Linked DNA regions of Drosophila melanogaster. The protein of the gene in region 1 interacts with the protein of each later gene in a pairwise test. Each region holds a gene or a part of one and is shown on either strand. Other genes may lie near its edges.

Region 1 (7,815 bases):
CATAGTCGCTACGATACTACGATACCAAATGAGGAGGACATATTTCAAAACTCAAAAGGCCTTTGTCGAGGTCTAGAAACTCAAGATACGAACGAAACTCTATGGTCATCTATGCAACCATCTATATATATCTGGCTTACTTGTCTGATGCTCTCGCCAGCCTGATACCGTGGCATGATTTTCGGTGTGCATGGGTTTTTTTGGAAGCAGAAGAGTACAAAATGCGATTTTTTTTCGGTTAGGATTGAATCGTGAGTGCGGTGGCTAGAGCGATTGTGTGTGTGTGTGTCCAACTACGAGTGTAATAATCCGGAAGATGGCATCCGAATTGGCCTGGCACTCACCCAGTTTGCTGCCGCCCAAATCCTCCACCTGGCTGTGGTTCTGTGATCCGAAGACCTCCTGCCGGAAGGCAGGATTTGGAGGCGCCGCTCCGTACGGATCATTGGGAACTTGCTTCTTGAACATAATCTGCATGTAAGAGTTTTATAGTATTATAATTACATATATACGATCAAAGAGAGTCACCTTCATTAGGGTGTAGCCGAAGAAGACTACGATGCCAATGGTGTAGAGTGGCATTAGGAAGCCCATGCTGCTGCCCCGCTGTTGTGGCTGATGCAGTGCACCGGCGCCCATGGGTGGACGCATTCCAGGAATGGGTCCAGGCTAGAAAGTACATACATATGTCAAAAGTTACTGAAATACAATAGAATGCCGCCAACAATCAAGGTCATATTAAATGTATCAGGTATACGCCCCGGTGGTTTCTTAAGTCAATTGTCTTTAGATATTTTTGAACTGATCGAATATGTATATTCTATTGTCCTATGTAATCATAAAAATTACGTATCCGCCGCGATGTATATTGACATAAAGATTACTCAAGACAGTTGTCTTCGAAATCTTTTGAATTGATGTCTTTGTAGGAGAAGGGAATCGATTGTGTTTTATTGACAACCCATGTAATCATTAAAATTACGTATCCGCCCCGTTGTATTTTGACATGAGGCGAGGACAGCTGATTTGTGCTCCCCGGCCATTCTAGCATTCTAGTAGCGATGAGAGCAAAATGGAACTGGCGCACTGAATTTGGCACAAGTTCAATACGCAGCAGCACATTCGGCCGATCTCCCACTCATCATTTACAAATTCTTTTTTTGTGTTTTCTTTAGCGCTGTCTCTTGCCTTCAATTTGCGTGCAGTGTCATAAAAACAAAACCCGAATCCGAATAAAATAAACGTTTGGCTATTTATAAATGACTTCCAACGCGAGCGCGGATATGTCTCATCCCGCCGTCATTATAATCACATCGACCACAGCCCGCCGACCAGTATAACTATATATATTATAATTATGGATTTATCGTCCGGAGAATAATGCACACCGTATGGTTAAATGTATAGTAGCCCAACTCACCCGTCCGTCGACAATCCGCGGAGGCGGATTACTGGGCGAAGTCTTTCGTTCTAGAATCGGCACGGTGGGCGTGGCGGGAATGGCGCGACCCCGCTCCCTCATGGCCTGGTATATGGATTCCGGATGCAGGTGGGCGGGACGCTCCTGGCGCAGACCTGCGACCACAATGGATTCATTAGTAACACAATTAAACTATCAAATTTTTAATTGACATAAACACTACATTTTAGAAACCCAAACATTAATAAACTCATTAATACCGTAAAGGTTAGGAATCTAAATGTATCTCAATCGATTGTTTCATGTAGATACAATCTTGTTAGTAGAGCCAAACACCGTTAGTAAAACCAATAAGCAAATTATAAATAATCGAGCCACATACTTATTTCGCCCGTGTAAACATTGATTTGCTTGCGATACAAATGCGGACCGAAGGGCTCGACAGTGTCCTTCTTCGTGGCATTCAGAAACTGCTCCCTGTCCAGGACGACATCACAACATCCTACAACATCGACCGGACAACAACAACACCCACATACGGAAATCAAAAGAAAATCATGATGATAATTCATAAATAATAAATGATAAATGAAATTAAGTAAAGTACAACATTTATAAGCCCTAGCTCCTAATGTGGTGAATAGAATCTGATGACTTACCGCCTGGTGCTGCTCGTGGATCCTTGAAGTTTGGCTGGCTTGGAGGCACTCCTCCGAACATCATGGGATGGAAGACCTTTGGCCACAGGATGGCAATGCATCCGATCACGGTTACGATGATCAGGGCGGTCTTCTTGGGCGTCATGCCCTCCTCGACGAGCGGAGCTCTCGGCTTGGATGTGGCTGTAGCGGGCATTTTGGCTTGGTAGCGGATTCCGTGGGCTATCTGGATTCGTTTGGCTATGGGTTCGTGGTTAAAGCTAGTCCCTAAGGCAACTCTGCTATGTGTTCCTGATCGATTTGGTTCGTTGATGGCTCCCTGCGAGCTGTTGACTATGCGCTGTGTTTCTAGTTGCTGTTTAACTTTGGCATTGGCTCATTTTGGCTGGCTAATGGTTGATTTGCTGTACGTTTAAAGCATTATCTGAAAGATACATAGATGCATAATCGGTTACACGCTACAGTTCGCTGATTCCGGCTTTCGTTGGAGTTGTATTCACATCACTGATCGGTCACGAATCGCAGCGCAAAATGCTGTATACGTTTGAATATTGTTGCGGGAAAACAAAAAAGTTTATTACATAAATAGCGGTCCCGATCTTTTTTATTTTTAGCTCGCGCAATTCGCTCTTTTCGGCCCGTCTAATAATTCTTTATTATTTTCACTTTTCCCACCGCACAAATCACAATTAACGACCGCATAAATAATATTGAACGTTTCTCCAAAAGAAAATGCTTTCGTATCGCTTTTGGAAAACGGTTTTTGAACGACCAAGGGTTCGAAAAAAAATGAAAACAGAAAACTGGACAGAGCGACTGCTTACGCAAAGTTCGAATGTTGTTCCCGAACTGGCCAGGCAAATTTTTGAAACTATTAGCGAATTTTCGGCAGATCAGATCTGAAGACCCGACACACCATTCGGGCGCGCTTTTCCCCATAATCGTCGTCGGCCATTATTTTCCTTTATTTTTGATGAGACAAGTGATTTGCAGCTTGGGCCTGCACCGGGAATTTCCGAGAGCTACGCTACAGCAGCCGACATAACATTAATGCTCTCTAATTCATTTCGGAAATAGATTTTAAATCAAAATACATATAACTGCTTGGGAAATTGGGCAAACTTAATTTGAAATATTTCAGCAAAAAAATTTTATAATATAATTTTAAATTTAATTTTTTGAGCTATTGCTGCTGTTTTGCTGACCAGCACTGTGTGCGAAATTTCGTGTTTTCATATTTTTCATTTCGCAGCTTCTTCGCTCTTGTTATCACACACGCACACACACACTGCCAAGTGCTATGAGTTTTCCGACCGTTTTCCATTTCGCTTTCAAGCGCACTGACTGAAAAGTGGCGAAAGTAAAATTGTTTTTACTATGCACGTCTGTTATTTGCACAGCATCTTCTTATTTCCACCACTTTTATTTTAAAAATTTCCCTCTTCTTGTCACTGTCTACATTAATTTGGAAAACGTTTTTCGAGCTCTCTGCGCTTTTATTTTTGGAGGCACAGCATTTGTAATTTGGGTTCAATGCCGTTCGGCTTAAGACTCATCACTTATTTTTAAAAATTATGAATTCAAAGTGTGGAGATTTTGTCCTTGGAATTGCTCTCGTGTTCTGAGGTACCTTTTAAATAATTATCAGTTTCGTTTTTAAAGACTAACACCTTTGGTTTCAAAGTTCGTTTTCTTATCTAATTACGCTAATTTCAAACTGTTTGTTTGTCGTTATAAGTTTCTCTGCCAGAAAGCAGCAGCAATAATAATTGATTTTTCAGTCGACCGAACGGAGATGGGCAGCATTGGCTGTCAATCGATGCATGCGAGTGCTATCGATACTTTTCTATCGTTTAAAGTTAACGGATCCTTTACACTGATAGAAGGCTTATGGGATTTAATAAATTTTTGTATATTTGTAATTGTTTTAAATGGAATCACATTATTATTAATATATAAAGGTCAAATATATATTTGGTTCGTAAAATGGTTACTTTATTATGCATTATTATGATGTTAAACTAGACTAACTATATATAACTAAGGATCAACTAAGGATCCAATATAACGGTAATACGTAAAATGCGGAATATACAAATATTAATTCGCTCAGCACTGTTGCCCTTTATCGAAATTAAAATTATTCGATTTATCGATAGCATCGTGAGTGGTCCACCCAGCTCCAATGTTTTCGTCTTCTTTGTGTTATAAAATTAACAATTTATAAATACGCATTTTCCGCTGGACCACCGAATATCGTCGTGACTTTGAAGAATCACAGTGCTATCAATCCTCGAAAGCAAAAGGTTGTAAAATCGAAAGTGAACGCGCGCCTGGCGTGACTGGTTTCTAGGCTTTCACCCCACGAAACTGGAGCTAACAATGGACAGCGAGTCGTTGGCCTGTTCGTCGGTGGAGAAGGACCTGACCCGAGTGGTCAGCAAACTGGAGCAGCTTCACGAGAACGCAGAGGCGGACATCGGAGATATAGCCACACAGATGTCGGAGCTGGTAGAGGTTCTCAGCAGGGCGGAGCAGCTGGTGACCACTCTGAACTCGAGCACCCAGGTGTCCCAGGACGATCCCATGGGCGATGCGGTGAGCATGCAGGTGGAGACGGAACCGACGGCACCACAACGCCTAACCGAGCGCCAAGTGGAGAGCGTCCGGAATGCTCTCGCCAGGTGCCACGAGCGCGTGCAAAAACTGTCCACGGAGCACCGCGATCTGCACGGCTCCATTTCGAAGATCGGCAAGGCCATTGACCGCAACTTTAGCGCCGACTTCTCGTCCACCATGCGAGTGGACGTGCTGCAGGACGAGGAGAACCTGATGTTGCTGAACAAGGCCATTGCCAAGCATTATTGTCGCCAGGGCATGGACGATGTGGCTCGCACGCTAATCCGCGAGTGCAAGATGTCGCCGGAGCATGCCCAGGATGTGTTCGACTCGGAGCGCGAGTTTGCCGACATCTACGGCATTTGGGTGAAGATCCAAAAGCGGGATCTGACTGACGCCCTCAAGTGGGCAAAGATGTACTCCCAGCAGCTGAGTGACCGCCACTCGCTCATAGAGTTCCGGCTGCACCGCATGCGTTTCATGCAGCTGGTCTCCTACGGATTGGACTCGCAGCGCGAGGCCATCTCCTACGCTCGACTGAACTTCAAGAAGTTTGCTGTGCGCTATGAGCACGAAATAGCCAACTTGATGGCCAGCTTTATATATCTGCCCAGTGGACTGGAGAACTCGCCTTACAAGCACTTCTTGGGCCAGGAGAAGTGGACCGAACTGTCGTTCATATTCCTCAAAGACGCATGCCAACTGCTAGGCATTAGCAAGAACTCCGCCCTGTCTGTTGTGGTCAATGCCGGATGCACTGCCCTGCCCGCCTTGCTCAATATCAAGCAGGTGATGCAGTCGCGCCAAGTCCTTGGCATGTGGAACGGCTGCGACGAGTTGCCCATTGAGATCGATCTGCAGCCGGAATTCCGATTCCACTCGATCTTTGCCTGCCCCATATTGCGCCAGCAGACTTCCGAGGACAATCCGCCGAAGAAGTTGACCTGCGGTCATGTCATATCCAACGACGCCCTGCACAAGCTGAGTGTTGGCCACATACTGAAGTGCCCCTACTGCCCCGTGGAGCAGAATGCCGAGGAGGCTGTTCGCATCTACTTTTAAGCCACATCTATGTATTCACCTTATGATAATCACCACTGCTTATATGACCAGGCTCAGGCGGTTCGAGGACTGGTGTTGGTTGGCCGGCTTTCCTTAACAAAACGTAACCATTTTAAGATAGCTTGCTTAGATTCATGTTTTTAGACAAATTCGCAGAGCGGAATCGAACTGCCTGGGCCGTCTGTTTTGCGTGTGTCCCACTTCCTAACAAACGATTTAGATTTAAAATTATATATACTGTGTATTTAAAACAAACGACGAAAGTGTTTTTATGTAGAATCCATGTTTAATTAAATACAAATCGTCCGAAGAGCAGACACTCTAGTGCCTATGTTTGTGCTTGTGCTTGTCGCTGCGATGTCTCGGCGGCGATGGCTCTTCTCTGCGAGAGGAGCGCGAGGAGGTTGGAGAACTGCGTGATCGCGACGATCCGGAGGCAGGAGTTTCGTAGCGGGAGCTGCGAGACGACCGCTCTGTATACCGCTTCGGTGAACTGGACGGACTACGCGACCGATTGCGTTTCGAGGATTTGGATGAGCGCGAGGTTTCGGGTGAATAGTCACGTCGTTTGGATTCGCCACCAGAGAACGGCGAGTGGGATCGTTTGCGGGAACTGCTTCTGAACAGCGCTGGACTCTCACTCACCTTGGAGCTCTTGGATTTTATGTGCATGTAGCTGAGCGGGGAGTCTACAGTTGCCTCAGATCGCGAGTCCTGTTCGTTCGCAAAGAATTCAGTTGTTACATCCGACTTACTGTATGTTACAAATCTTACCTGTTTAAGTAATCGCTTCCGGAATTGTTCCACTTGTTCGGGGACACTCCAACCTGGTTCCAGGCGGCGCTTTCCGGACTCCAGTTCGTCCTGGTACTGAATTGCTTTCGACTCAATGTCTCTTAACTTCTGACGCATCTCGTCGGTGTACTTTTGCGGATTGTCTTCTCCACTGTCGTCGTCCGAGCTAAAGAACTTCGGTGGATCTGGCGGATCGAGAGTGTCCCATTTGCTGGTGGTAATCGCCTGCGCTTCTACTTGCTGGGGATCAACTGTCTCCCACTTTGAGGGTATGAAGCCAGGCAACTTAGCCGTAGATTTGGTTTCTTTTTCCAACGGTACACCGTCGAGATCATCATCCACTGGAATTAAGGATTATTTACTTAGTAGTAAGAAGGTTTAAATCACTTTCTTATGCTTACATGGTATGCCATCGATTTCATCGAGGTATTCATCTTTCTTAGGTGTGTCACGCTTTGGAGTACCAGCATCTGCATCAGGTATGGCTCGCTTCAAGGCGCTCTTAAGCAAAGCAGCTCCATCTAGTGGCACTCCGTCTAGATCCTCGTCGTCCTTTTCCTCTCCGGAAAGGGGCGCACCGTCGATATCTTCGTCCAGAGCCTCATCAAATCGCGTTTCCTCGGCTTGAGGTGAGTTATTGACTGGCTTGACGTACTAAACACAAGATTCCATTAGACTACATGCACAATTTGAAATGAATTTCATTAACTAACAGGTTTGCCCAAGAATTTGGCCGTCAGCTGGGCCATAAAATCCTTGGGATAAATGGTCCATTCCTCCCATGTGCGGATAACATTGCAGACTCTGGATTTAAAGCCCTCAGCTTTCAATCTACTCTCGATGTTCAAGTAGTAGTTATGCAGGTTATCAAAGATGTCCAACAATTGTTTTTCCACACTAAATAATAGGGGATATTTCAATGTGTATGCTTTGATAAACATATATACATACGATTTACGGAAGAACGAAGCATTCGCAACTTTAACAGTGCAGTTGTGCAGTATATCTGAGATCAGATAAAGTCGAGCAATCTTCTTTGAAGCCAATGTATTGATATTTGACAGAGACTCGGCGATGCACTCGCAGATTTCATCAGCCGCATCTGCGTGCTCAATGCAGAAGATCATGGCATCTCCAATGCGGGCGCGTTCAGGAGTTAAGTGCCTAATCAAATCCTCGAGTCGGTTGCGTTGCCTATTTCAGTATACATTTACAGTACAGTAAACATTTATGTTTCGAGGATTATCTATGCTAAACGTA
Region 2 (7,758 bases), 6.3 Mb from region 1:
AGCGAAACTAGGACAAGCATGTGTACATATGACACGCACACCGGTGCACACACATGCACCTAAACCCCTCCCCTTAAGCACACACACACACATACACATTCCATTGGACCAGTGGAGTTTCAACTCCCTTTTTGGAGCTTTTTTCATTGAGTAACTCCCTTTTTGATTTGCCCGGGAACTCTGTCCCCTATTTAAGCACATTCAATTTATGCGAAACTTGTGCGCAGGTCATAAAAAACTCGATTTTATGCTCCCCCATTCATAAGGCGAGGAAAGTCCTTAGCTCCGAAGTTGCGGCTTCATTTTCAAGAATGAAACCGTATATCATTTGGCAACCCCAAGTTACATACAGATTCTTTATAGCTGAAACCGCTTTTAACATAACATTCATTTGGGAAAAGTATCTCAATAAACTCGGAATGTTCTTAATTGAAGACTAGATGAGATAAAGGTATATATATCCTTGCTTGGATATATATATATATATATAACGAAGGACATCCAGATATTTTTAGTTTATATTGGCTTTTTACCCTCGCTTCAATGAATCAATTTTTGCTGATGGCAGGTGCTACTAGTATCCTTGCTATGGCTTCCTTGACGGTGCCAAAAAATTGAATTAGCCAAATTAGCGACACTTGTGGGTTATCCTGTCGAGGATATAGAGGCAGCTCTGGTACCTCGATGCCTCTCATTCGTTTTAAACCATTGGTGCATCCAGCATGGCTACGGTTTCCTATACCAAACTTGGTCCCAAACGCAAAATAAGCAGGTGGAATGGCTACTGATTTTAGTATTTAGGCTAAGATATGTCTAGCATGATAAGCTCACATTAAAAAATGGTTACAAAGAGATATTAAAATGAAGATTAAAATTGTATTCTCCATCGAAACTAATGCAATTTACACCAATTTTTTCATTTCACAGCGACTTCTTAGTAACAGTACGCGCACAGGTAATGACCAGAGACGAGAGCACCGAGGGCTGGCTTCCGCTGGCCGGGGGTGGCCTGGCCAATGTTTCGATCCGGAAGCGGGCTAGGCTATCCCCATTGGCATCGGGTCATGACTACATCATCTACGGGCAGAGAATATCCGATCAGAGCGTGAGTATAGATCCCACACTAGAATATGCTGTTGATATTAAAATGAATTACTTCCGGCAGGTCATCTTGAGCTGTGTGATCAATCGTGATCTGAAGTATTACAAAGTAATGCCTACATTTCATCATTGGCGCGCAGGGAAGCAGCGGAATGGACTCACATTTCAAACGGCCGCCGATGCGCGAGCCTTTGACAAGGGCGTCCTGCGCGCCTACAACGAGCTGATCGATGGTAAACCCCTGCCCGAATCCTCATGGCTGAGCCCCAACTACCATCTAATGTACCAACTAGTTGCATGACCGGCTTGCACATCCCGTCTCTCTATCTCTCTCTCTCTCTCTGCTTTCTGTCAGCCCGCTTTAGTTGCTATTTGATTCCTACTGCTTACCTTCTCATGCCGAAGCCACTTGCCTTTCTTTCCTCCAAATCTTCCAAGTCTCTGACTTAGTATTGCTTTCGTTTACTAATATATATATATATATAACTTTTTGTATGTCTTATGCTCTACTTTTGCCACAATACCAAACGAAAAACCAACCCAATTATCAAACATCATCACACACAATCACATTGGAATATTGCAAATTGTTTTAAAAATCAACAAATCAACCAAACATTTAAAACTATAATTTCACTCAAATTGGTAAGTGTTAAATGAGGCCGTACCTCGAATTTAGTTTTGTGTGTGTGTGCTGTTTGCTTTGAAGAGGAACATTGCGCTGCTCGATCACTTCAAAATTCTCAGCACATATATGTGAAATAGTATAGTCTAGTCCACACTAGTAGGTCACCACGTTTCGATGAGTTCTTTTCGATTTTCATGCTTACACTTAGCTGTATTCTGATTATACGCTCGTCAAGATCTATCTTCTTTCTGTACAACTTTAAACTGTTCTCTGCTTTGCGCCTTGCTAAAAAACTTTGCTGTTTACTCATAAATAGTTTGGAATTTATGATGACTAAACCTGATTCATTTACCTTATCTAGGACTGGCCAAATCGAATCCAACGATAATATGCCCACCGCTAACCAAATATGATTCGGTTGGCGAAGATGATGTATTCATGACCCTGGACTTACCTGTGGAGAGCGAGAGTTTACAAAAGATCCATTCAAGCCCCGAGGGCAGCGAGAAAAGTCACAGTAAGTGTTGCTAAATTGGGTAAAAAAAAAAAAAACAGGTGGAATCAATTAATGAAGATTCACTTGATACCCAATGACTAATCAATTGAGAGCACATCTTTAATCCATCGCTTACCTTGCAGAGAGCGTCAGCAACAACTCCGACTCGGAGAAGCTGCCTCCGCCGCCCATTCACTACATATCCACGGACAAAACATCGGCCACCACGTCGCCGCCAGACGCACCGCCCGCTTCTGCTGCTCCATCGCCGGCGACGGCCGGCCAGATAGCGGCCAGTGAGAACTACTCGTACGTGACGCTGACGGCGGTGCACCACGACTACAACTATCCGGTGGTGGACCAGCCGGTGGGGGCGCAGGTGCTCAATGCTCGCAGGGAGTCGATCAGTGCACTAAAGAAGCGCAACGCTCTGGAGGCAGCGCAGGCGATGGCGGCGGCTCAGACGGCGGCGGGTGGTGGACTGGCCTGTCGCGACGGCGGATCGGGAAAGCCACTGCACAAGCCAAACGTATCCGACATACTGAAGAAGGAGACGCGCCTGCGATGCCGCTACTGCCACGAGCTGTACAGCGAGGACTTCAATCGGCGGGGCGCCTGCGAATATGCCCCGGATGCGTTTCGCAGCGGCTACGAGTGCATCTCTGGGATGGGCTGTGCCCGTTGCATGATCTACCACTGCATGAGCGACGCCGAGGGCGAGACGGCCCAGCATCCGTGCGACTGCAGCGCCAGCGAGGCCGGCTGCAGCAAGCGCTGGCTGGGCCTGGCGATCCTCTCGTTGTTCGTGCCCTGCCTGTGGTGCTATCCGCCGCTCCGCGCCTGCCACTTGGCCGGCATCCACTGCGGCCTCTGCGGCGGGCAGCACAAGCCGCATGTCTGACATTTGGAGGCCCGCTTGCAAGGACAGCACGATGATGACCCCAGGCCCAGAAGCGAATTCCACTACCACCACTCCGAGCAGAGCATAATGAACAGCGCCAAGCGTCCGTGGGGCGCCAAGCAGAAGCAGTCGCAGCAATCACAGCAATCGCAGCGTCATTTTTACAACTGGGAGCTGTCGCACAGCTTGGGTGCTCCCCAGCATCAGACTCCGCCGTATTTAATGCAATCAACTGGCAGGAAGGCACCGCAGAACGATTACGGACGCTTGCTGTTCTAGGCTTTATCCATGATGACAGCCTGAGGACTCATTTTTACAAACTGATTACCAAGAAGTACTGATTATTTCACCAGATCTACGGTATCTTAAAGATATCTAAAAGTGGACAAGGAAATGTTTTTCTGATAAATGGCAAGAAAACAATGTTTTCACACTGTTGAGATGAAAAAATCGTGTCGATGCAAAAGCACAGCTTTTTCAAATCGGGTGAAAGAAGAATGCGTAAGAAGCAATTCAGCTTGAAAATCAGTTTGCCAAAATGGGTCTGGGGTTCGATTTTAGTATCATTTCGGTATACTCCATTTGAATTGCCATAATTAATTGTATATACAAAAGAGCAGGAAGGATTATGTATCTAATTTTAATATACTTTTAAAATTGTAACTTATGTTTAGTGCTCTCGCTTAATTATAGTTTTGTAAAAACGGGCTATTTGTTTTTATTCGTAACTGAACACACATTTTTTTGAAAAATCAAAATATTATACAATGATTGTTTTAGTTTTAGTTGTTTAGGGTTTTTTGCTATTTTACACTTGCTTGTTTACAATTCGAAATTGGAGAACAGTATTAAAAGGCCAAGGCGAAGGCAAAGGCGAAACGAGAACTAAATATATTTAAATGCGATTTTCTCTGCGCGATTCCAATTTGTTAATCAATGTCACGCGCTCAAAAACTCACACGAAAAGTTCAAACAAACGGCAACCTGATGCGCAAATGAATAAAAAAAAAAAAATCGAGACACGCAACAACTCGGCAGAAGAATTAGTGGACGACGACGACACGGCTGTCGAGCCGTTCTTCTCCGAACCTGAAGAAGAATTACAAATTGTATTCGATTTACTCCTCTAGCAAAAGAGTCTGCGGCAATGCTCAAGTTTTGTGCGTTCGCTATGCTCGGCAATTGTTACTTAAATGTGCTTTAGTTCAGAACTATGTACCCATTCGGTTGCCTTATAAAAAGGATGTTTTTGTCTCTTCTTAGGGCTCATGAAGATTCAAAATATTCCTTTTGCCCCAAACTCAAAACGTTTGTTTTCCAAAATCTTTTGTTCAGACGTTGAAATAGAATGAGAAACCAATTAGAATTAGAGAGTCGATGGACAAACAAAGAGCGCAGCATTGCTCGATTGGAAATCTTTTGCAACTAAATAATTCTAGAATGCGAAGCAATTTGTAATTTTTATTGAAATGCCAACAACTTTGGGCCGTTTATAAAATGGCCGAAAGAGGAGGCATTTGAGCAAAGGGGTAAAAATAAAACAAAAACAAAAAACAAACAATTTAAGTGTTTTCAAAAAGTCAACAAACTCATATATGCAGCTATATATATATATAAAAATAATAAAAAAAAAAACATTAATTTATTTCTTACTATATAATTATTGTTGTACTAAGTCGGTGAGAAAACCCATGAAAGAAAGAAATTCACACGAAAACTAAAAAACAAAATGCATATTTATTAAAAATAAGCAAAGGTTGTGCAAAAAAAAAACACATTAAAAAGCAACATTATTATTGTAAAAATTAACTAAATACGGCAATTGTTATTAAATGTGCAAAATTCAGCAAACACATTGATACAAACCTCAGAAAATACAAGCCAAGATCTGAAAACGGACATCAATGGAATGCAAATTTTTGAAAATATAAGGCAAGATGAACCGTGAACGGATCAAACAGAAACGGAAACGGAAACAAAACACTCAACAACAAGAAGTACAAAATGTTAAATATGTATCTATAATTTACAATTACGTTTTATATTACTCTCTAATTTACACGCTTACACAATGGAAAAATAGCTAACTATTATTGCAATCGTCCTCAAACACACAATAAAACTAGATCAAAAGGCGGAATTATTACTTTAGCTAAAATAAAATATCACCTTTTGCAATTTGTATCATTTTCTTACCCTTATTGTTTCACATCGAAATCAGAAAAAATAGTTAAAATAGCCGCATATACTCATATTAAATTGAAAAGAAACGTGTCATTGCAGAAAAGGATAAAGAAAATAGTAATATAAATGATATATTTATTCATATAAATGTATTTGAAAATGTGAACAAAAGAATACCAACAATAAAACACAATTTAATAAACAATGTGAAAGCTACGAGTGTGTTTTTTTTTTAAAACACTTAAAAACACAGTAGCCGTGCAGTCAAAAATCCAAAACAAGAAAACCAAATTTCGAAATGGAGGAGCTAATGAGGCAGAACGGACAGAAATGCGAGAGGCAGGAACTCACCTGCAGCGTTTTATTTACCAAGTGAGTTAATCTTAAACCAGTCGGAGTAATCTTAAAATATTTTCCTTCTCCTTGCAGTCCCAAGCTTAGTGCCGAGAAGTTATCCTCCAATGATGAAATAAACTCCATTGCGAGATTCGTATCGAAGGCGGAGGATCTCGAAATGCATAGAGTGTTCAGTAAGATATCAAAGAATGGTGTCGAGGAGACCACGTCTCTGAATCGCTCCCTCTTCGAGTTCGGTCATAATTTCGAGGATGCCGATGGCTGGCTGAAACTGGAGCAGCCTTGCAAGGATCGGCTGGCCACGGTGCTGCGCTACATGTTCGAGTCCCATCTGAAGACCACTGTGCAGATAGAAATCAACAATATGTACTTCAATTGCCACTTCATCGTGCTGCAGGTGTACTCTCGCTTCTTTAGTGAACTGGAGATGATTCCGCTGCTGGTCACCCTGCCCGAGAAGATCGTGTCCCAGAAGGCCTTTATGCTCTCCTACAAATGGATGCTGAGCGATGAGCCCGTCCTGGAGCTGGCTCACATTGTGGAGGTCTATGTGGCCGCCACTTATTTGAGGATCTCTGGTCTGGCGGCGCATTGTTGGAAATATTTCGATGATGAGGAATACTACAACGAGGATACGGCATGTGTCCTATACGTCGAGTCGAAGGACAATCCCGCCATGGATGTAGTTCGCAATTTGATGCTGACTAGGATCCGCAAGTTTCTGCTCACCTTTGTGGCCACCAGGGATTTCCTCGATCTGCCGACCTCCCATCTGATTTTTTTGCTCGAATCCGATCAAATCTGTGTGAACACCGAGATTGAGGTGGTGTTCAACATAATATTTATAGTTATTATTGCATTTTATATGTTTTTCTTAGGTTTTCTTTATAGCTGTTCGATGGCTGGGTCACGATTGGAACAAGAGGAAAGTGCACGTACGTCGTTTAATGTCCTGTATTCGATTCAACCTGATGCCATTGTGGTATCTACTATATGCGCGACGGGAGGAGGATCACCCGTTGGTGATGAAGCTGATTTTCAACCCGGAGGTGGAGTACAAGATCGACGAATCCATATCGAGAATAACGTCGCGCATGTACGAGGATGCCTTGGAGGGCAATGACGCACAGAGTGAGGAATACGCAAGTGATTCCGGACAGCGAAACTGGATATGCGATAGCTTGTGCAGCTATTATCACGGCGTCGGTTGTCCCAATACCCGGGAAATTCGTTTCAAACACTTCGAGGATTACCTTTCGGAATTACAACAATGCTCCAAAGATCACTGGTCTCAGGTGATATTTCAGGACCCGAGTAAAAAGATTGACTGTTGCAGCACAAGGAAGATAAAATCGGACGATTTTGTTGCCGATTAACTATTGAGTTTGAATAGTAACGACTAGAATTCAAATTTGCGGGCTTCAGTTTGTGCTAGTATAACAACTTGGCACACTTTTCTGTTATACATTGTACACTTCGTTCATTTGATATTTATGAAACAAATCAGCATATTTTTAATAATATATTTTTTAAAATGTACATCAACATTTTAAAAAAAAAGCAAGTGGTTTAATAAATATAATTAATATTTATTGTATTATTGTCGCAACTTTAAGTGTGACCATTTCTGCAACGCTCTTTGGCATTTCGGGCAGATAGGGTGGCGTGCACACTTTGCATTGTTTTGGAAAATAATTTGATACATTTATCAGGAAAATGGAAAAACTGGAGGCCCTAAAAATATCCTCGATGCGTCCGCGCAGCAACATCCTAGACAGACCACTATCCAAGGGCAAAACGGAGGTTTCCCAGAGCATTGTGGCGCTGCTTTTCAGCGAAATCGTCCAGTACTCGCAGAGCCGAGTGTTTACAGTCCCAGAATTGCAAACAAGGTGGGAGTTTCTCTAAGTTTTTGCGATTAATTCGTTAATTCCAAGGCGTTTTCAGACTCCACGATCTGGGTCAAGATGTAGGCACCCGCATAATCGACCTGTATTTCGTGAGGGAGCGCAGCTCCAAGCGAGAAACAAAACTAACCCAAATGCTTCTCTTTGTTAAGACCACGGTGTGGAAGAATCTCTTTGGCAAAGA
Region 3 (7,055 bases), on another chromosome or scaffold:
GTACTTGATCATATCGCTGGACGAGTGCACCAACGAAGTGCGGTGAGTAGACGCAGACAAAATCCTCGAGACGGGCACTTGAACGCTTAATTGAGATATTGTATTCTTATCGCATTAATATGTACTTTTGCCTGCTTTCTACAACAGCGACGATTGCGATCTGCTGGCCATTTGGGATGACAAGCAGCCGGCCTACCAAAAATACCCACAGTTCTGCCACGAGCTGCTCCACAAGAACGTGCCCAGCTTCCTGAAAGTGTTCGCCAACGACCACTACGGCATTATCAAGATGTTCTCGCAGAGCGTCCAGATCAACCTCAAGCACAACAAGATGCCCGAGATGTCCATATAGGGCTGGCCGTCCACGGAGGCGGCGCGATGATGGAATGCTGGAATCGTGTTGTGTTGTACGTAGCTGTGTGAGCTGTGTGACTAGGATTTAGCATTTTACGATGTGTGTGTATTATGATTACGTTTAGTATTGCCCCAACCTCGGATGCCCGAACACATCTCGCACCCAATCCCAAATCCCGATCCCGCGTAGTAGCTGATTTGATATGGCAGATTGGCGATTAGAAGGAGGCCCCTTCCGCTAGATAGTAAACTGGATGCATTTAGCAGCTTGACTTGTTTCCGCGCCGCTGCGTTCAAACCTTGTTTGGATCATTCCCCGCACCCGCACCTGCGCCTGCGCCCTCGCATTCGAATAAGTTAATCTAGCCGAACGGAGCGACCTTAACTCTAAATACTTTCGTTAAGTTTAAGCTAAGCTTTTTACATTTACGCATGTAGTATACATATGACGATGAGACGCGTGTGGCAACGAAAGTGGCTGCATGTGGACGATGTGCATCCGGGAGCCACGATCCCAGACCCAAAAACAAGCGGGTAAACACGCATTTGCCAGGCAATAAGTGAAATAAAATGATATATTTGAAACAATCCTATGGGCATCTGTTGTTTGTTTATATCTTTAAAATGCTTACTCCTTATTGTTCACAACTTTTGAACAGTAAAAATGTGAGTATATATTTGTTTTGAAATATATTCACATTTTTAGTTTTATACAATACAGCTTATAATATGTAAATAAATAATATCATTAATTATGATTTCCATTTATACAATTTATTTAAATTTCGAATTTCACCTTACAGGGTTTGTGTCGCAGCTATCCACCCTGAGTTTGTATCGCGGTTTCGAGTCGATTGCTTAAATATCGATATTATCGAGCACTACCATCCGCATCTGGGATTAACTTCGTTTCGCCATCCGGTCACACACATACCCGCAACAATACACGAATTTTCATTAATAAACACACAAAGTAGTTAAAATTTTGGGTTTACACCGCGGCCCATTCGCATCGCCATCATGCTTTACCTCGAAGACTATCTGGAGATGATCGAGCACCTGCCGCAGGAGCTGCGCGACCGCTTTACCGAGATGCGCGAACTAGATCTCGCCGTCCAGAGTAAGTGCAACCAGAGAATCCGAATCTCTGCTTTTCGCCGGATCACTAACCAATAACTGCTCCTTGCGGTGCACAGACAACATGGACTCGCTGGACAAGAAGGCCCACATGTTCTTCAAGCAGTGCAAGCGCGACGAACTGCAGCACGAGTCGATGGACACGGAGTTCCACAGCCTGCGCGGCGAGTACTTCAAGGTGATGGAGGACGCCGACGAGAAGGTGGCTATTGCCACTCAGATACACGAGCTGGTGGAGCGCTACTTGCGCCGCCTGGATAGCGAGCTCTTCAAGTTCAAGTGCGAGCTGGAGGCGGACAACAACGGCATCACCGAAATCCTCGAGCGCCGCTCTCTGGAGCTGGACGGCAACTCCACTGCAGCCACCGCCCTGCTGCTGAGCATGAACCAGAAGGAGAACCGCTACTACGGCGCCAGTTCGGCCAATACCATGGTGAACAGCTCGACGGGACACGCAACGGGTGCCGCCACTGGCTCCTCCGGCATTGCACTGGTCAGTGGTGCTGCCGGAACGGGCGGTGCCCTCTCCAGCATCTCCACCGCCCAGTTGGGCTCAAGTCAGCGCCACCGCAAGCTGGAGAAGCGGCGGGAAACCATATGCACGGTGCCTGTTCAGGAGAAGCGCGCCAATCTGAATCACTCACTTCCCGTGGTCGGTTCGGGCTCCACGACTGCCGCGGCAGCCTCATCTTCGTCCGCCACAACGGCCGCAGCAGCCGCCAGCCTGGCCAGCGCGACGACTGCCCAAACTCATGTCTCCAACCACATTGGCAGCATCGCCGCCACTCATCTCACCCTGCCTGTGGCCATGGGCGTGGCCGGCGGCAGTAGCAGTCTTGCCAGCAGCTCGCTTGCCACAGGAACGGGTTCGCTGGTCCGCCAACTGCCCACGAACCTTACCCACACCGTGCTAAGCACCTCGGGTGGAGCGACCGCCGCAGCGGCAGCGGGCGGCAACTCCACGTCCGTGGTCGCTGCTGGTACGGCCCACGGGCACGCCCATGTCAGTGGGCACTCGGCCGCCGGGGCCACAGTCACCTACAACCTGCAACAACTGGGCGGAGGAGCCGCCGCATCTAGTGCCATTGCGGCGGCAGCCAGCCAGGCGATCGTGGCCACACAGCAGATGCAGCAAGGCCGCCGCACGGCCAGCCTCAAGGCGAGTTACGAGGCCATACACGGAACAGCGGGCACCACCACCGACTTCTGGACCCAAGCCGGTCAGGGTGGACTGCAGCAGTCGACCGCTGGATCGGTGACAGTGGCTGCCGGCACAGCGTTGGCCACCGGCGCAGCTGGCGGTAGTAGCACCGGCTCGCATCATTCGCACCACTCACAGTCGCACCATGGCGGCCATGGGCACGGACATGGTCATGGCCATGGGCATGGTCATGGGCACGGACACCACAGCAGCAGTGGTCACGGCGGCGGGCACAGCAGCCACCACCAGGAGAAGAAGCAAAAGAAGAAGCTAACCACAGCGCTGACGTTGCCCACAGTGCAGCCGACGGCCGGCTCCTCGTCGGGCAACTCGATTGGCTCGTCGTCGTCGATTAGTCTGGAATCGGTGAACAAGCTCACCACGTCGGCGGCCCTGGCGGCGGCATCGGCCACGACAACCTACATGTCTGTGGGTGGACAGGCGCTGCTCGCCATGACCCCCGGAGGTGGAGGCGGAGGCAACTTGGCGGAGAGTTCCGCTGAGGGCGTGCCCGCCGGAATGATTGCCATGAACCTGCCCACCACCACGGTAACGCCCGGCTCCAGCCTGACCATCGGCGAGAACGGACTCGTGGTGGAGCAGACGAACGAGGGCGAATGGTCGTACGATCCCAACGAGCCGCGCTACTGCACCTGCAACCAGGTGTCCTACGGCGACATGGTGGCCTGCGACAACGACGCCTGTCCCTACGAGTGGTTCCACTACCCCTGCGTGGGCATCACCCAGCCGCCCAAGGGCAAGTGGTACTGCCCCAAGTGCACCGCCTCCATGCGGCGCCGTGGCAACCGAAAGAACTGAGGCTGACTGCGCCTGCTGGCGCCCCTCTTCCGTGGCGGGGGCGGCGGCGTAGGCACCTGGTCGCGTCGCTAGCGGCTCTTATACTTGTAAAGTGACAAATAAACAAATTCAAAGTATTCAATAAAGTTAGATCAGCAATAGAGCAGCTCTTTATATTCAGTTCGGAACGCAAAGGCGAATAGTGGATTGGGATTGCACTAATATATCTTAACTAAAGTAGTTTAAGCCAGCTTCTAGCTTAAATAACAAATTTAGGGTGTTTTCGCTACAATAATAATAAACAATAAAATATAGTTCATTCGATAGTTTGATTTCAAAATTCGCGCCCTCTTGGCAATCAAACAGCGTGACCATGCTGCGCTTGCTAAAGCACTCTGGTCACGCTGAACAGAAGAAAAGAAAATTTCCAGCGTCATTTGTGCATTGCAAGTTAGTAAACAATAAAAGCGCATAAACAGGGCTAGGAAAAGCGGGAAGACGATTAGGTAAACAGAATTCGACGCAAATCGGTTGGAAAAACGGCCTCAAGATTGGCAAGATACGCAAGAGCAAGAAAATGAGCTACAACGAGAAATCGGAGGCCATCATCAAGGAGGAGTGGCTGCAGCGCCTGGAGCAGTTTCCCTTCAAGCAGGCGGACATGAATCGCCTGATCATGAACTACTTGGTCACAGGTGAGTCCGGGTCACCAGCCCGCAGCCACAGCAAGCAGCTAATCAAGGGCTAATCCACAGAGGGCTTCAAGGAGGCCGCCGAGAAGTTCCAGCACGAGGCGGATCTGGAGCCCAGCGTGGAGCTGAGCAGCCTCGATGGGCGCATACTCATCCGCGAAGCCGTGCAGGCGGGCCGCATCGAGGAGGCCACCCAGCTGGTGAACCAGCTGCATCCTGAGCTGCTCGGCAGCGATCGCTATCTGTTCTTCCACCTGCAGCAGCTGCAGCTCATCGAGCTGATACGCGCCGGCAAGGTGGAGGAGGCCCTGTCCTTTGCCCAAAGCAAGCTGTCCGAGTCCGGCGAGGAGGCCATGTTTGAGCTGGAGCGCACCCTGGCCCTGCTCGCCTTCGAGAAGCCGCAGGAGAGCCCCTTCGCCGACCTGCTGGAGCAGTCGTACCGCCAGAAGATCGCTAGCGAGCTCAACTCGGCCATCCTGCGCTGCGAGCAGAGCGAGGACTCCACGCCCAAAATGATGTTCCTGCTCAAGCTGATCTTGTGGGCCCAGTCCAAGCTGGACAGCCGCTCCATTAGCTATCCCAAGATGAAGAACCTAGAGACGGCGCACCTGGAGCCCAAGTAGAAGGGCAGCGCCACCCCCTTCGACTTCTTTTGCTAATGCTATTGCTAATATATCTCCATTTAATAAGTATGTATATGTATGTATGCTGGATGTAGGCAGTGAATTATTAAATAAGTAGCCGGAAACTCCATCACTCCATCTATCCATCCATCCGACTTGCCATCAGCCCTTCTTACCAGCCGAATATCAGGTCCATGGCCTTGTCCATCAGACCGGAGCTCTTTTGCGGCACATCCTTCTGCGGCGATATGATGTTATCTTTGCGGGCCAGCTTGTACGACTGCTGGGAAAACGGTCGAATCGCACTGGGGCTGGTGGGGGGATCTCCTATCTCTGCATTGGGCACAGAGCCGATGTTCTCCTTATCGATCACCGACCTATCCGTGCAGCGCGACACGCCCACCATCACATTGCCGGCGATGATTTTTTCGTTGTAGTTCAGCGCCTTGTCGCTCTCGATGCGCGAGGAGTAGCGCACATACATCCAGTTGCCGTTCTGCGGGGCATGCACCACGTCCACAATGGTGCCGCAGACGGTGAAGTGCTGCAGCACCATGGAGCCGGCCCCCGGCGGGAACCCGAAGATGGTAACCCAAAAGTCGGATAGGCGCGAGTTGCCGCCCGTCGTCACGGATGTGCCCAGGCCTCCAGCTGGCGAGGCAGTGGCTCCAAGTGGCGAGCACAGTGCTCGCATCGAGGCATTGATGGCATTGGGCGCCCCGGGTGCGAACGAGTCATTCGTGTGATAGCTGCTCTGGTAGCTCTGGTTCGGTGACTGCAACTGCAGCATGCCAAGATGGTTCTTCTTCTTCGGGGTGACGGACTGTTCGCGCAGCGAGTCGAAGAGTCCCTGGGTGGGCGGTCCCGTCTGGTGGTGGCTGTGCGTCTGGCCGTGCGCGGTCGTTGAGCTGTTGGCGCCCACAGCCGTGTGGGCGCCTCCTTGGGCGGCGAACAGAGTGCGTGTGCTCAGAGCGGAGCGGTTGAGCTCGTGCGGACTGCTGCCGCCGGGCGAGGTGGCTGCGGGGCATGTGTTCATATAGCCAATGCGTACGAGCTGCTTGATGCCGGCTACTTACCGAAACTTATATTAGAGCGCCCGGTTTTCGGGGACAGCGTGTTCTTGTGCGGCGTTATACCTTGCGGATCGCCGAGCAGAAAAGGTGGCAGATACTGGGTCTGGTTGGAGCCAGGACTGTTGACCGGGCTGCCCAGATTCATTGGCTCCATATCGAATGCGAATATTAATTATAATAATTATAACGGCGAAAAACGAAAAAGCGTTGCATTAACAAGGACGCCACAGCTGTAATCGGTTAGTGCGACCAGGCTGGGCTGGGGTCGAAATGCTAGAGGTGGATGCCAACATCGATGTCATCGATGTTTTCGAAAAATCACAAACATCGATGTTTTTCAAAGAATCATCGATGTTTTTCCATCTTTACTGCGCATCGTAGGTTAAAAGTGTTTAAATTGTGAGTATAAATTAAATTTCCAAATTTTCCAATTTCCATTTATTAATAGCATATTGCAAATTTTCAGTGACTTGCTGGTGGTCTTGGCTGGCGTCGTGGAAGACGACACGTATATTTATGCATGTATGCATGCGTGCACCTGCTCGTATGCATACTGGCTTACTTTTCTATTGAATTACTTTTCTATTGAATTGCATTAATTAGTATATTTGATTTATAGGAGCAATTATTGGACCAGGGGCGGATAAAAACGTAGACGGCAATAAGCTTGTCATGTTTAGTTATAGTACTGCCTTTTTATTTAAGCAATTATAAAAAAATAATAATCTTTAAGTTAAGCAGTTAATTTTTTTGTTTTTATTGAAAACATCGATGTCCGCCAACATCGATTTCTCCACCTCTACTAAATACGCCGTTCTTCGCAGTCGCGCCGCGCAACTTGCACTTTTGCAGCTCCCCGACTGGCAGTGGGCACATTTCGTTTCCCCCAAACGGTCACTCTAGCGGCCACCTTTCAAACAACAACATCACGCGTCGCGTCTCCGTCTTTTTCCTTTTTTTTTTTACATTAGACTACACTACGTTCTCCTGGCGTTTCGTTCGTGTCGCGCGTGATTAAATTGGCAACTGAGAACAATAAGAAGAAATCACAGTGTGCGAGCAGCAACAAACACAACGATTAGTGTAAACAAAACACATCGACAACAACAATCCAAATTACAATATAGGCAAAGAAGAAGAAACGAAAGGCAGGACCTTCGCAGCAAGAGCGAGACAG
Region 4 (8,691 bases), on another chromosome or scaffold:
ATGAAGGAAAGTCACTGGCATCTCGCGTCGGTCAGCATTGAATGAAATGCCCCGGAAAAAACCAATTGTTATTCCACGTTTAATTTAGTAGAGCAATGGAGGCCTCTTCCCACCACCTACCGCCCACCTTGTAAATCCGATTTCACGGTTTGCGGGAACGGACAGACAGCAGCTGACTGGGCTGCATCGTTGTGGGCGGGCAGATCTTGGATACATCCTAATCCATCTCATCGCATTTTATCCCATCTCATAGATACATATACAAATACAGATACAGATACAGCTACAGCAGATACAGAGACACCGCTTGGCTTTGAGTTTCAGTTGGGTAATGCGAAACGCCGGAGACTGCCCGTCCGAAAATGGAGCAATAAATTCTAATCAAAATTAAAATATACATAATAATAAAGTAAGCAAAGCAGCCAGGCCATCAGTACAGCACAAGCATTTTCTATGGCCCATTCAGCGCGTGTGTGCACTTGTCATTGCCTGGAAACTAAGCCACACAAAAGGGGCTGTTGTGGGTTAGGGGGGCCGTCCAATATGTTGGCCAAATGAGTACGCGCAGCGGGGATTGCTGAGTGATTTTTCCAGTTCTCCTAGCGAATACATATACATTCGTTTAGATATATACATATAGATATCCACTTTATTTGGGGGTGCTCTTCAAGGCCCTAAAACCGCGAACAAGTTGCCACTTCATCTCCATAAAAGCCAGCTGATAGTGGAGATCTTGTGAAAGATATATTTTAGTCGGCTTTGAGGCTGGGAAAGGGAGTGCAAAGATAGTTACACATTTTCAAAAGAACGACATTCTACAGTTCTGTTCTTTTATGTAATGATCCATTAATTATTTACTCATTACTTTAAAAACTACTGGTTGTTGCGGCACAAATCTAATATTGATTGATTGCAACACCCTTTTGGGGATGTTCATCACACGCCTGCTGAAGCATATGCTTCCTATATCGCTGACACCCACAAATCAATAGAACCCCCTTCTGATCCAGAGTTTCGGAGTGGGCTAGGTGGGTGCATCGGGATGACACGCGTCACCGCTCAATGGAACCGCTTGGCACTAAATCAGCCTCAATTGAGAGTGTGCTGGCTAACCTACTTGAGCGGCAGCATTCAAAACCAGCGATTTGTGGCACGTTGGCACGTCTAATTGGAAGACAGTTGGAATAGGTACAAGGGATCTGAACAGCGAATTCCTGGCGGTAATGCCGCCTAGATCCGCACACCAAGGTTGCCCGGTAACCGTACCCAAATATAACGATTGCGAATCAGTGGCGTCTTATCAGGTATCCACTATCTGTCGGTACCATCGGCCATCCTCTGACGCACTTCACCTGCTCACGACGCAAACCAGTTCAGCTCAAGTGTGGCGGAACCCAAAACCAATTACAGCTGTCGACGGTTATTTGTTTGCCCGACATATATACCACAATTATTTCTCATTATCGAGCGGTGCGATAATTTGATTCGACTTCGTATAGCTGGATATTTTCGGCTACTGCCAAATTGGCATTTGTCCGCTACTTATTTCGATTTGTTTGCATTTGGCCAAAAAGGCACTTTTTTTATTTTTTTTTTTTTTTTGTGCGATCGTGACTGCAAAAGTAGCTTTATGGCAACGTCAGCAGCGCGTATTAAATTGTATTTAAATTAAAACAAATTACGGACAGGCCGAGTTTGTGTGCAAGTGGCGGCAATTGCTGATATTGTCGTCACATATGAGGCATTAAATTAAATAAAAATTTATTATGACGATTTAAGGAGCGTCGGGCAACAAGCAAAGTGCGAATCAAAAGATACAGGCACAGATTCACACACAATTGAGCTACATATACAACTGTATGTATCTTCTGCGAGAATTCGAACAATCTTTCAATTGTTTGCATCATTTGGAAAACATTTTCCATTCCATTTTCGTTTCGAAATGCCAAGATTTTAACATTTATGGCAGGCAGGTATATGTAGCTATTTTTTTATGGATCTCCAGTGCCAAAAGAAATCCCACGGACAAGTGGCAGCCAAATCCGATTTTAGCGAGTTCTTGCGGGTTATATATTTATTTACTCGATCTAGAATAGTTGGATCGCCCGCTGTTTTTTGTGTTTATTCATTTGTTATGCCTTCCCATTTTACCGGCCAATTGAATCCGAGTAATATTCGAAAGTTATGTCATTTCCTTAGCTATGCATTACAGATTGCCCAGTGGAGCCGGCTTAATCTCGACCCAGCTCGTTTACTTCCTCCCACAATGCGTTCGCGGTAATTGCGGTAATTGTTGTCGTTCAGACAATATTAAGTGCGTGACACAAGACGAGTTCAGAGTTCTGGAGATTCACAAATCTCGTCTTACCGCCCGAAACTCGTTTGAACCGGTGGCGAACAGGAACAATTGAGCCATTGTTGAGCTCCGGCTCAGCTACTTCAGGTAGCTGGACAATAAACTACCCCTTCGGAACTAAGCCACCCCTGAAGGGTAATGATCGATGGACCTTGAGAGACCTACAAGCTGGAGACCAACTCGAAAACAAACGAAAACGAAAATAAATCAACGTACCGCTCTAGAACTTAATCTACAAGTGTTGGTCGAGCGAGTGTTATCTGATAAGCAGACGAAAGGTAAATATAGCGCAAAGGCACAGATACAGATACCGATACCTGGGAAACTGGAGGCCCAGACCCCTAATAGCGGGTTATGCAATCGTTAGTAATTAAGACCCTACCCATTGACGCAAACTGGGCATGTGCCAAATATCACACCGCAGCGAAACAAATCGAAGTCCTTGTCGAATGCAATCTGTGTGCTGGATGTGACAGCAAACAGTCAATGGGCGAGGTGATAATTTCCACATCTTGCGATTATGGCCGCCAATTGATGATGCCCACATAGCGTAGATGGCTTTTTCCAACAAGATCTATTCAAACGGTTTGCCATTGTCAGTTGATTAGATTTTTATTGGCGCGTAATTGAATTAAAACGGCCAATATTGTTTTGCTGCCACGCTTTGATTGCCGAAAGCAAGTCACCACCTCTGTCGGACGGTTTTCTGGTATTTTCCAGTTGTAATTATTATCACTGTCGCTTTTACTGCCATCGGCAATCTGTTAAGTAGTTAACGCGAACCTAAAATCTCCGAGCCGGGTAAAACTGGTCAAAAAGGGAAGGGGCCCGTCTATTCGGGTGCACAAAATATCTGGTTAATATATAGTATAGGTGTGTGTACTACATGTCAACGCTGATAACTGCTGATAGTATTCAAATCCTGGGTGTTAGCATTTAGAACCTGCCATTACCACGTTGGAAGCACATTATTCAGCTTATTTGCCGTCCTCTCCATAAACTCTTAATTGCTTTATCTGCATTTTTCGACTGATAAACGGGTAGATGCATACATACATACATATACCAACTAGTTCTCGTTTTGGCTGGCCCTTAATTCCAAATCATTTACTTATGGAACGCACATTGAGAGGAAGGGAACTTCATTATCGCGTTCTTAGAGCATCGTCAGATTGTAGTTTCATGATTTTTGATGTGCTTTCTTAAATTGACTTCAATTGAAAGCGCATGAGTCAGCATACAAAACGAAGCCACAACGCTGGTGGGGGGATGTGAGATATACTCGTACATAACTCAGCTTTACGCGGATTTGTGCGTGAAATCATAATAGAATTTCCACTGAGCACACTGGGTTAAGATATAAGATGTCGTAGTCCGGCAGATTGAATTATAATAATTATGCAACGTTGTATTCTACACCAACAATATTATCATCAGAATTTGCCCTTGAAAATCCGTTGGGAAATGCGTCATATTTTATAAAATTAATTGTATGAAACCCAACCCAATAAACCCAACCACAAATGTTTTTAAACTTAAAATAATTTGCGTAACTTATTTTGATTCTTAAAATATGCATACCACTACAATACTAATAAAGACGTAATTTTGGAATTACATACTTAATTTTATAACAATACAAATATGCACAATATAATATATATTATAATAATTATATAATAATATCTAAATATATTCTACAAGACACTTTCAAGTCTAAGTGAGGTCTTAAGCGTTCTTTTCAAGTTTTCCCGTTACAAATAATATCTGGACCCACTGTTTGTTGCGAGTGGATTCAGACCGCTTGCTCTATAGTTTTGCATACTTTCGGGCCGTCGAACCAGTATGTGTGTGGGTGCGTGCGTGTGTGTGACCTGCCCTTAGACAAGCCCCAAAATCAATAGAGCTGGCAATACGGACTTAGAATTGGTGGTCTAGCCCTAGGAACAGAACCGAAAGCCCGGGTGGAAACAACAACCCTGGCGAAGAACTCATTACCTTCTGCGGGGTAATTAAGTGGCGTCATCGGTGGGGCATTTAGTAACTAATCGAATGGTGAGGGGGTAGGGAAGGGAAAGTAAGGGCTACGTACTGAGAAAAAAGTACGGTAAGAAGTACGTCGATTTACGCTAATGTGCCAGTGTGTGTAATTAGCAGCGCACTACTCGGCCCAATGACACCAATTCCGGAAGGAGGGAAAGCACGGAAAATGGAAAAATAAACGTGTTATGCAGGGTAGTTTCGTTCTAGAGCTCGAGATTCCAATAATGAAATCTGCGAGATGCGGCGGAATGGGGCGTGGTTCGGGAGGGGCGGCAGCAGTACCGGTTATGTAAGCCGAAAACTGGAAGATTTCCAAGCACGGAAAAGCGAAAAGCTTTCGCGCCGGGAAAGTGGAAAATTTGGGAAACTGGTCGGCCTGGAAATGCAAATTGCGCATGCCAGCTAAGCGCACCTGGAAAGCGAGAGAGAGAGAGACAGAGAGGCAGAGAGAGAGAGAGAGAGCAAGAGAAAGGGAGAGCGAATACAAATTCGAGAAAAAAGTCAAAAGCCAGGCTCTAAGCCCAGGCTATTTTTACAGATCAGCAGGTAAGCGGATATAGGCCCATCCAGATCCAATAGGATTAGTAACTGCGCCCCGTTTCACATTCGATTCCGTTTGCAGTTACCGAAAGCCCGCAAACAAATTAGTAAACTTCGTTGGGCGTCGCCTCGGCTTTGTTGTTGTTGTCGTTGCTTCTCGCTTTTTCACCAGCAACAAAACAAATAGTAGTAGCAGCAGCAGCAGCAAGAACAACACCAAAAGCAATGTACACAACACAGATACACGCACACACCCACACAGCGCACTCGGGCTTCGATTTTTCCCACTAAAAACAACGCCCGCTCAGCGTATCACTTGGCCAATTTGTTTTGGCCCTGGTTCTTTTTGGTTCCCTCGTCATGGTCTAACAACAGTTTAAACTTAACCATTTTCTCACTTAACTAACTTAGTTTTCATCGTAATCCAGGCTTTATTTTTGCTCACCTCGTAATCCGACCTTAACGCCATGTTATTTTAATTTAACTCGATTATTCCCAGGGATGTGGAAAATTTACACAATTCCAACGTATCGATATTTTAGAAGTCGTGACTACCAAATGGAGAGTTATCGGCCTATTGTATCGAATAAGCCGGTGTAGAAATCGGGATGGCAATCGGTTAAGAAAATGTAATTGTAAATATTGCATTATGAATAAAATTACTATTATAATTTGTCAATAGTCCGAACAGTCTGGTTTATTTAAAATGAAAAGTTAAGTATTTTAAATATACCTGGATATTTATTTACCGAAAGTTGTTACTATGCTACCTTCAAATATTAATATCTGGATATGTTTGGATTTCAATACTCTCATTAATAATTGCTAATTTAAAATACCAAGTTAAAAATATGTTTAATTTTTCACCTCAATTTGGAAATAACATACTTTTATGTACTTTTTATATCAACTGCAAGCGTGAAAATTACTGGAGCTGCCAGATTAAAATATACACACTACGATAGTTGCCATCTTGAATATTTACAGATATGGAGAGTTGCCAACGTTATAGTTATGTGTATTCAATTTCAAGAGATAATAAAATACCAAATACAATACGCGCGTCTTCTTGCATTCCAAACATAGGTGGCGCTGTATAAGCAAAATAATTTTAAGTGGCAGATAGAACGAAGTGTAGATGGCGTTCGTTAAACGTATAAATTAGCTACTCTCCAAGAAATGTTCAACTGGACTTGAATCTTCTCAAATTTATTTCCTATGTTCAGTATTGATCGTTGATCATTGTTGCGATGAATGGCTTCAAACGGGCCAGAGATTCTCGAAGGCTCAGCAATTCGACGATCCTGTGGGGAAAAACGCATCTTGGAGATTATAAGTTCAGCTTACTTAAACTAATTAAATTATACTTAAATTTCAAGATACACCTGATACCCCTCGTCATCATTATCCAGCAACTTATCATTGGAAGCACCAACTGAAGGTTCGCCCGAAACCAACAGACCGCGTAATTGATTATAATTAAATTATGAATTTAATTGAGAACACTATTGATAAGTACGAGTCACGATGTGGAACTCAAGACGAAGATCTTCCAATTTGTCAGTGTAATGGAGCTATAAACATAACAATCCTCCAAACGACCAGGCATTTGGAAAACTTATCTCCGTCCGCACAAGATCTCATTTTATCATCCGAAATGCTGACCTCCACTTGGTCGAAGCTGAATTTATCGCAACTCTAAACCCCAAATATAATCAGGATAATTAGATGTCTCAAGTCATTTTGTTCTTGAAGGCTAGCATGTTCTATCTAAGTTAGCTTCCCAGCAAAATGGCATCTAAATTTCTACAGATTCATTCAATTGATCAATTCGGTGACCAATTACAAGGAAATGCCAAATTTGCACACTCTTACAAAGAGCACAGTTTGCACGGTTTCATTTGCCCTTACCTTCTCCGGAAGCTTCAATTGGTTTATCCGGTTAATTAATATTTTGAAATCAATTGTTGTCGACACGAGCACAAACAAGGAAGCAGCTCCAAAGGGGCTGCGGTTGCTTAGGCGAAACGACTTTTCGCTCAGCTGCAGAGCAACCCACTTTCCACTTTGCCCATCCTTTTGCCCGCCCTCTCATCCTGCGGCCCCGTCAATCGATTCAATATCCCATGGCCATTAGAAGGAAGCCGGCTCGACTACAAAATTGAGCCCACATAAGCTGAGGGGAAATCGCCTTGTTGCCACTGCCACTGTCTTCGGGTTTGGCTTTCGCTTTTGCTTTTGCTTTGGCATTGGCTTTGGCTCAAATAACCTGAAAGGCCCAATCAACAGGTGTCTTTGCCTCTGCTGCGTGCTGGTGCTTAGTGTTTCTGTGTGTCTGGGTGTTTGTGGTTCAACAACCGGGCCACCGGCGGCAAGGAGTCAGCTTCACGGCCGAGTCGGATGCCTCGGTGTGTGCCAAGCCAAATGGCGAGAAATAAAACTGGAATAATTCAATAGGAGGCGTGGCCAGCCCACTAAGCCCATGGGTAGGAAGTGGAGGGGGGGGGGTGTGTGGGTATGGCTGCGATGGTTGGATTCAGTTCGGAGAAGGCAGCTTCATAGCTTGCGTAATGAATGTCCTTAGCAGGCTGGGCACGTTTCATGTTTTTTCGTTCATGTTTGCTCTGCCAGGCTCCTGGAATCCCCCATCCAGGCCGCCAATTTGGAGCCAAACGGAAGGACCAGAATGCTGGCCATTAAAGCTCGTGCTCCTCCAGCTCCTTTTGCTCATTTCACTTAAGTTCATTTCGCAATTTAACACTACCAGGACACGCATCAACGAGCTGGCGTCTTAATTTGTGCCGCTTTTTCTGCCTACGCTCATAATAAATGCAAAAAATAGTAAGGGCAAAAAACAAAAAAAAAAAAAAACAAATAAATTTCCAGCAGAGGAAATGCCGAAAATATTTGCATGCAAATTTCCGACCTCCTTCACGCAGAAAAAAGCTGCACACCAGCAGCCGTTTGTCCCGTCAACCGCAATTTGAGTAAATTTAATTGAAGCCCCTTGGCCTCCTGCTCATGCATATTTATTGAGTCGTGGAGGGGACGGTGGGAACGGAAGCGGAGCACCCTTTTTGGGTCCAAGCAACAGTTGCCGCACATTGCGCATACGCCGCGTGTGCCACGGAGTAAGTTTCTGGCGCAGCACAGGGGCAGATCCAGCGCCAACTTAATTTCCACGGCACAACTACTACTACAGCCGATTATGCTAATGTCGAAAGAAAGAAAATTCAGGTGTTCTCCCGCAGCAGAACGGGGCAAGGAAAGGGACAAACAAGGAAAAGGTGACTTCGTCCTGGCTCTCGCCCTTCGTATTACCAAAGAAAGACAGCAGGAATTTGCAGCTGCAAGAGAGGAGGATATCCCTTTTGCTCCGCTTTCCCCTCGTTTGCTTATCGCGCTGACTTCTTGCTTCCGGTCTTATTTCTTGCCTTTGGACAGGACGACGCTGCCTGTCTGCCGTATAACAAATAGCAAAATGTCCTCCGTCCTTCCGCCCGTCTGGCTGACTGGCATTCGTGGCTGTGTCCCGGCTCGTCAACAAATTGTTGCTCCGCCGTTGCGTGAGTAAATTCCGTCGGCTTCTCGGTCTCTCGCTCGGCTCTCCTGCCATTCCGACATTGCGCATACGCCGTGTGTGCGTGAATTGCACCACGATGGCCCACTGTGCCTGGGGACGCGCCGCCTGTGCCAACTGTGCTATGGCCCGTATAACACCGGGCAGCAACAGCTGCTGGACGCACAGTTCA

Evidence for each region.
Region 2: the proteins of Sou (region 1) and CG12857 interact in a two-hybrid assay, tested with the Drosophila melanogaster proteins (one large-scale study listed by BioGRID).
Region 3: the proteins of Sou (region 1) and Hou interact in a two-hybrid assay, tested with the Drosophila melanogaster proteins (one large-scale study listed by BioGRID).
Region 4: the proteins of Sou (region 1) and Atpalpha interact in a two-hybrid assay, tested with the Drosophila melanogaster proteins (one large-scale study listed by BioGRID).

The regions. Positions count from the first base shown.
Region 1 is NT_033778.4:21,013,847-21,021,661, reverse strand, and holds Sou (souji), read left to right. Parts: upstream 1-4,215; 5' UTR 4,216-4,461; coding exon 4,462-5,760; 3' UTR 5,761-6,068; downstream 6,069-7,815. Other genes in the region: RIC-3 (RIC3 acetylcholine receptor chaperone), read right to left, coding at 345-471, 529-669, 1,421-1,575, 1,803-1,922, 2,080-2,275; CG9346 (uncharacterized protein), read right to left, coding at 6,082-6,474, 6,535-6,896, 6,957-7,209, 7,269-7,452, 7,507-7,749.
Region 2 is NT_033778.4:14,757,407-14,765,164, reverse strand, and holds CG12857 (uncharacterized protein), read left to right. Parts: upstream 1-5,562; 5' UTR 5,563-5,608; coding exon 5,609-5,682; intron 5,683-5,739; coding exon 5,740-6,490; intron 6,491-6,545; coding exon 6,546-7,043; 3' UTR 7,044-7,258; downstream 7,259-7,758. Other genes in the region: Spred (Sprouty-related protein with EVH-1 domain), read left to right, coding at 928-1,105, 1,166-1,334, 2,091-2,246, 2,369-3,126; Trs31 (TRAPP subunit 31), read left to right, coding at 7,384-7,559, 7,615-7,758.
Region 3 is NC_004354.4:18,647,283-18,654,337, reverse strand, and holds Hou (houki), read left to right. Parts: upstream 1-3,893; 5' UTR 3,894-4,067; coding exon 4,068-4,185; intron 4,186-4,245; coding exon 4,246-4,805; 3' UTR 4,806-4,942; downstream 4,943-7,055. Other genes in the region: CG6659 (uncharacterized protein), read left to right, coding at 1-42, 148-352; Ing3 (inhibitor of growth family, member 3), read left to right, coding at 1,375-1,474, 1,551-3,511; Nup35 (nucleoporin 35kDa), read right to left, coding at 4,978-5,822, 5,882-6,032.
Region 4 is NT_033777.3:20,945,523-20,954,213, reverse strand, and holds the start of Atpalpha (Na pump alpha subunit), read right to left. Parts: upstream 5,435-8,691; 5' UTR 5,409-5,434; coding exon 5,385-5,408; intron 1-5,384. UniProt on the Drosophila melanogaster protein: This is the catalytic component of the active enzyme, which catalyzes the hydrolysis of ATP coupled with the exchange of sodium and potassium ions across the plasma membrane.